Linked DNA regions of Drosophila melanogaster. The protein of the gene in region 2 binds, or shares a complex with, the protein of the main gene of each other region. Each region holds a gene or a part of one and is shown on either strand. Other genes may lie near its edges. The genes, in order: ttm3 and Tim17a1.

The links.
Region 1: Tim17a1 (region 2) and ttm3 share a complex: the UniProt entries of both Drosophila melanogaster proteins name them as parts of the TIM23 complex.

What each region holds. Positions count from the first base shown.
Region 1 is NT_033779.5:22,077,790-22,081,240, reverse strand, and holds ttm3 (tiny tim 3), read right to left. Parts: upstream 1,610-3,451; 5' UTR 1,554-1,609; coding exon 522-1,553; 3' UTR 503-521; downstream 1-502. UniProt on the Drosophila melanogaster protein: Essential component of the TIM23 complex, a complex that mediates the translocation of transit peptide-containing proteins across the mitochondrial inner membrane.
Region 2 is NT_033777.3:12,362,986-12,366,808, forward strand, and holds Tim17a1 (Tim17a1), read right to left. Parts: upstream 1,696-3,823; 5' UTR 1,601-1,695; coding exon 932-1,600; 3' UTR 682-931; downstream 1-681. Other genes in the region: GstD10 (glutathione S transferase D10), read right to left, coding at 1,928-2,560; GstD9 (glutathione S transferase D9), read right to left, coding at 3,256-3,823. UniProt on the Drosophila melanogaster protein: Essential component of the TIM23 complex, a complex that mediates the translocation of transit peptide-containing proteins across the mitochondrial inner membrane.

The DNA.
Region 1 (3,451 bases), on a different chromosome or scaffold from region 2:
AGAGCTCTTCATCTCCATAAAAATTATCTCATGCCGTACTTTCGAGTTAAGCCGCTGCGCCAATGTCCCTAGAATCTGTATGCTGAACCTTCTAGCTTTTATAGTTCCGGAGATCTCGACGTTCATACGGACAGGCGGACAGGCGGACATGACTAGATTGACTCGGCTATTGATCCTTATGAAGAATATATATACTTTATATAGTCGAAAATGCTTCCTTCTCCCTGTTACATACTTTTCAACAAATCTAGTATACCCTTTTACTCAACCTGTAATGGGTATAATTGTGTTTAGCTTGGCAGTAAATCTAGTAGACCAATTTAAACTTCGGTAACGGATATAAAAATCGAAACCTCTGTGGTTGTCGAACTGCCAAAACAATGAAAATAATTAAAACAAATAATAAAATGTAAAAAAGGTAAACAATTTTGAACATTTAAATTACTAGATTAATGACTAGATTTTTTAGTTTCCAAGATCAAGACGTTACTACAATAGATATAAGGTGCATAAACGAAAATTTATTTGATTGAAGACCCTCGAAGGGAGCGTCCCAATAAAGTTAAGTTCCACTGACGTTCACTAGTTGGTAAATTCTGAATGCTTTCCTGACTCTGCTCCTGCAGTCGACGTTGGTTGTCCTTAAACTGTTCCATGGGGTCCTCGAATTGGCGATAGTATCGCAGCACCTCCCTTACATCATTTACTTGGTGTTCGGCAATCAACTGCAGGAAAGCCGTGAGATCAAAGAGCTGGACATCATCATCGTTACCCAGCCACTTTGTGAGCACCAAGCTATTATCGGGATGCAGGGGAGTGGTATACGGATCACAGTCCACCACTATCACACGGCTCAGATCCCTGTTAAGATAATCGAGGTTCTTGGTATGCTGACCCTCTACCAAGTCCGTGGCACCTCTTACTAGCCGATATTTTATGTAGCCATAGGGATCTAAAGCATCCAGAAGGGGGAATGCGGTCATACCTTGTTCAGAAGTATATATCACAATTTCAAAATTTCGACTGCACTGCTGAAGAAAGTAATCCACACCAGGCCGCTTTTTAAACCGCCACCCCGTCTGATAAGTCCAATCTGGATGCACCAGTACGTCTTTGATTTCCAGCACCAGTGAATAGGGAGGTTGTATATACGGCGGTGGGACAACATTTGGCAGCAGCCTTGCCATCTGGGGCTCTTCCATCATTTTTTCATAATACTGAAGTGTGTGCCACATCCTCATTATGTACTGGCGGAACCAGGGAAGCTGACTGAACTCATCTTCTATGGGACCCCGATGGTCTTCCTCGGGCTTGCCCAGCTTATAGATGGCCCACATGACTATACTGAAGAGACTCCCCAACACAACACTGTAGGTATAGAAATTCTTGATTCTTCTTAACTTTGGTGGTGAATAGTTTTTGTCGCATCTCTGTACTGTTTTTCTAGCTGAATTCAGGCATATTTTCTCGCATGGACTCAGAAGACAGGTCTTCTTTTTACCGATGTAGCCAATCGACTTATTTAAAGTTCCAAACCAAACAATTTTATGCATTTGAGCTAGACGTTATTTTTTATTGACTTAAGACACTAAGCACTAAACACCGAATCTAACAACTTGTATATACCCAAAGTAAATACCCTCGTGGTAATTATATATTTAATAAAAACAAGAGGAAACGTTACAGTCAAACATTATTTTAGCATAGAAAAAAAAAACATCACGCAAGGGTAAAAAGTAGTGACGATCCCAACCAGAAACTATAGTTAGAATTTAAACAATTTAAATATATACATATATTTAAATATATTTTATTTAAATTCGACACTTTTTATCAAAATATTTGTTGCTCTCCGTTGAAGAAAGAAACTTCCGCTGCGTCTATGACGTGGACATGATCTAAACTTTCTAGCATTTATTGTTTCTGACATTTAGACGTTCAAACGAACAGACAGCCGGGCAGACATACTGACAGATATGCATGGCCAGAATTCCCGTCGACTTAAAAAATCTTCGGAAGAACGATCAAACCCCCTCAGAAGAGCCCATCGCAGCCCTCTCTTTCCTTGTCGTTGCGATTGAGCGGTCGATGGAACGTAGGTGGGACCATTTATCCTAGGGCCAAAATTAATGTTACCTTGGACTAGACGCATACAAAATTTTTGCTGACTTTGTTACCTTTTGACTACGAAAATTGGAAGGACGGTTGCCGGCCCTCTAATAAAAGCAGCTGTTAGCCCGATTAATACGTACGTAATATGCTGTTTGATTATAATTACCGTATCCAACGCTTTATTCGTCACTTGCTTTTTACTTCGTAAAGAGGTGTTTTCTTTTGATTTACCAAATATGAACAGCACTCACATCCCTTTTGAATATATAATTACTAATTTGACTTAATCGTAAATCGGAACGTACATACATAAGCAGCTCAGGTGGACGCAGGACACCAGGTAGAGGAGCTGGTCGCAATCAAGCAATGCCAGTTCAGATAGTCGATTTGTCATAAACAATCGAAATCCATTTAAAATTGTACATGCAATTCCGCAAGAGCCCAATTGAGAGACAGAGAGAGAGAGAGAGAGAGAGCGACAGAAGCTGCCAGATGCCGACACAGTCAACACCTCGTAAAGTGCGATGGGCGCTGGAAGTTTGGGCTGGTTCACTTGTCAGCCAATGTGCCACGTCCTGGCGTGTCCTGCGCTTTCGAGTGTGGCTCAGTGTGTGTTTCTGCCCATTTACCGAGACCTGTGCCTGTGTATCGTTGATATGATAATTGGCATGAGGTAATAATCCACTTGGAAACGTTGGCAATCGTTTGTATCGCAATCACTGTCAAGCCGCCTGCGTCTGCTGCTCCCTTGTGCTGGTATCCAGTGTCCTGGCGCCATAAAGTATAATTTTCCCAACCGTGTTCTCGTTGACTATTCGGCTCCTGGTGTTCCTGCTGGTCCTTTCGTCTCTTCCGCCATTGAACGGGCGACATATTAAATAACAATGAACTGCAATTGCCCAACGAGTCTCGTAATTCGTTTGTAATGCGTGCAGACGCACAGATTTTAAGCAGTCAGCAGGCACATGTCCTTCTGGAACTACAGTTCCACTTCCATTGCCATTTCCCCATCTTTCCTGCATCCCCATTCGCTGGTACCGCCTTTTTCTGCCGCCTGCAATACCCACTTCATTGTCATTGCCTTCGTCTATGTGCTATACTGGCTTTTGTCCTTCTCATGGTTCATAATTTCTGATTTCCTAGTTCAGCTCGTTAGCCAGTTAAATTTAATCACTTTTCAAAATTGGTTCGGTCTGCTGGAGTATTTAAATCGGTTCCGCAATTTATGCGAAAATGAGTGCTACTCAAATGTTGTGGAAAAGACAGACTAGCTCAATAAAGTCCAATAAAAAGGATTACGTTTACTAGTAATCAGTAGAGGCGTCTAGCTTCAAACCAT
Region 2 (3,823 bases):
CACTCTCCAAGTAAAACCAAAAATGATATTTCCCAAATCGGCAGCGGGAACGATGATCGATGTCAACTATATGTCTAATCTCCGATTGTCTTTGAATGCAAAGTTTTCTGGCCAAATTGCTGCATGATATACTTACTTATGAACCCTATCCTGGTAACCACCTTCCAATTCTCTGCGCTCTGTTCTGTCTCATCAACTAGTTTAATTCTTAATTTTGTATTAATTTATGATTTTCTTTAATTATAATAAAAGATTCGAAACGATTTTGATAAGTGGACAACGGCATTATTTATTTTTTTGTTAATTTGATATAGCATTGAACGTTTAAATTGATTTATTTAAGGATATTATGATAGAATCATAAATACCTCTTTTCCAGGGTAGAGGTTAGATATTAATAAATGCTTTTTATTAAATCTACAGATCCTAAGAACCCTCTTTCAAATTGTATGATATTGTTCAGCGCTGCAGATATGAATATAAATCTGTTCCGAGTTTTGTTTTCCATACGATGAAATAATTGTACAAATTTGAATTATAAAAACCAAAAAAAAGTTCTGTTTCAAGCTGAGCCATTTGAAGTATAACACAAGAGAAAATGCTACAGTCGAGTTTCCCGACTACCAGATATCCGTTACTCAAGTAGTGGGATTTTTCTGGGATATCTATAGATTGGGAAATACATACATACATTGTTTTATTCAACCTTTAAAAAAATAAAGCCACAAAATAAAGTGTTTCGAACTTGAAATTCTGACGCCAAGAAGTATGCTATGATTTTGATAGTAGATAAGCTTTAGTATCTTATGCGTTTTGTATATTACGATCATGAAATGAACGGTGAAAACTAGTACATGCACACAATTTTGATGAGTGATTGTTGAGAACGAAAGATTGAATGAAAATGAAAACCCTTTTTTTTTGGGCAACACTAGAACATCTGGGACAGTTTCACCAGATCCAAGAGGGAATAAAATGGCTTCTGTTTGGAATCTCGCTCGTGACTCTTAACCGGAATGTCCTGAAGTAAATTTGGTTCCCTGCTCGCCCGACATTTGTCCAGCACCCGTTCAAACTCCGCCAGTGCGAAATCTTGAGTGGATGACGCTCTCTTCGGATCAATAGTCTCCAGTATGGCCTCCCACTGGGCCCGCTGCGGCTTGATGACTATCCCTGCACCTTTGTCGGCTGCATTAATGGTGGCCACTGCTGCACCGGCTCCTTCAATCATGGCCAGCACCAGACAGCCCACCAGAGCACTGTTGGCCATGGCCCGAATGCCATTACGGGCTGCCAATATCCCACCAGTGGCCGCTCCACTGAGTATCGAGTTCCAGGCATCCTCCCTCTGGCGATAGTGGACCAGGGCGCAATCCACTGTGCTGAAAGTGGCACCCCAAACGGCAAAGCTGCCGGCAATGGACGGCGTTCTCATCTTCACCAAATCAATGCCACCATAAAGTCTGCGCTGCAATCCGGTAGGAGCGTTACGGAAACCCTTGAGGAACTCGAACAGCGAACCACCGATGGTGCCCATCATGAAGGCACATCCGCAATCCTCCACAATCCTAATGGGACACGGCTGGCGATTGTACTCCATGGCCTTGACTTACTATATCAAAACCTTTGGGTATACTAATATTCTTCAAGTGGCTTCAAATCAAAAACTTGTGTTTTGGAAATAGACTTTTGAGTAAACATAATACGAAGTGTTTGGGATGCTGACGTTTGCGTCCTTTCTAGATGTTTACAATTTTATGATATTAAATTTGTATTTCAAAAAACGGATTAAACTTTAAAAGTGAATTTTTTTTATTTAACTATTGAAATGTCTATCGAAATCCAGCCCAGTCTTAATCTTTAAATATATAGTTTTTTCTTGATAACCGAATAATAGGTGTTTTATCAGTATTTCGGGTTCATATATTCAGTTATCGAAGTATTTGCGGAACTCCTGGCAACCAGCCCAGTTTTCCTCCCAACCGGGAGTCAGTTTCTTGGCATTCTCGTACCAACGTGCCACATTGGCATACCGCTTGAAATCGAAGCCAGCCACATCGAAAGTGGAAACGGTGGCCAGAAAGGCAATATCCGCCAAGCTATAATCCCCTCCAGCGCTGTAGGTCTGCCCCTCCAGGAATGTGTTTAGGAATTCGAAGGCCACTTCGATCTTCTTGTAGTTCTCCTCATTGGCGGGCTTCTTTAGGAAAATCTGCGGATAATAGTACTCGGAGAAGCTCTTATACAGCGTACCCATGTCGAAGTACAGGCGCTGATTGATCAACGCCTGCTTTTGCACATCCTTGGGGAAGAGCTTGTCGTCCTTGCCGTACTTCTCCACCAGATAAACCATAATCGCCCGCGACTCCCACAAAGCAAATCCATGGTCGTGCAGCGTGGGGATCGTGTGCTGCGGATTGATTTTCAGGTATTCCGGCGTGAATTGCTCCCTAGCTCGGGTGTTGATAATGGTCTTCTTATCGAACTCCACACCCAGTGCCTTGGCTGTCATCAGAACAGAGCGGCAGGGAGCAGATCCGGGTCTATAGTATAAATCCATCTTACGCTATCTCACTTTCTGAAGGGATCTCTGGAAACTGAATAAAAAAAAAAACGAACAGCTAATCACTTTCTCATTTCGTTCGCTGAACCTGGTTACGCAATCTCTATAATAAATTCATCAAAAACAACAAAAGTATACATACCTACGTGGTAATCAAATATACTCGGCTGCTCTGCTGGAGTCAAAACGCGACAAACGACTGAAAAATTCTCTGCGGTTTAGTCGTGTTTTATAAGAAATAGAAGATAACCACAAAAAATACTCGTAGAATGTTTCGGGGCTGATGGATCAATTAGGTATAGGTGATAATAGTCAGCAATTTTTGGGCTAGCACTGGACACAAGAGAAACTTCTGGAAGAGCAGAGTGCAGCTGTATTACCAATTTCATTTCGTTTAGCTTCCCGTTGAACTAAACTTTACGTAAATCATGAATTAGTACAGGTGTTTGTCCAAAATTACCATTTGAATTTAATTGTTTTGGCTATCGCTAAAATCACGGCAGGTGGCATTTCAGCAAACCGACACGTAGCAATATCTTATCGCTATCAGAATGTTTGGAGCAGAGGATCCTCTGCCTTATCGCTGTACAAAAGCCAACAACTCTTCGTTTATTATACTCATTGTCATTTCACAATGTCTCACTCTTTATTCAAACAGGTCGATACAGATTAGATTATTTATTACAGACCCGTCATTGTTTGTTCAAAATCGCACCCAGATACAATTTCTTGTAGTACTCGCAGCCCTCCCAGTTCTCCTCCCAGCCGGGTATCACTTTCTTGGCATTGTCGTACCACCTAACCACTTCCGGATATTTACCAAAATCATATTCCGATATTTCAAAAGTGGAAACGGTGGCCAGAAGCGCAAAATCGGCCAGAGTCAACTTGTTGAGGGCGGCGTACTGCTGACCCTTCAACAGAGTATTGAACATAGCGAAAGCATCATCGATCTTCTTGAGGTTATCGGGATCAGCTGGCTTCTTCACATCCTCGAACAACTGGGGATAGTAGTAGTACACGTAGCTCTGGTACAGAGTACTCAGATCGAAAAACAGGCGCTGATTGATCACGGCTCTCTGCTGGGGATCCTTGGGATAAAGGGAGCCATCTTTATCGTACTTCTCGGCCAGATAAATCAGTATAGCCCTCGACTCCCAGATGGCGAAACCATCGTCAACCAGCGTGGGAATCGTATGCTGAGGATTGATCTTTACAAATTCCGGCTTAAGATGCTCGCCGGCATCCAGATCCACCTGC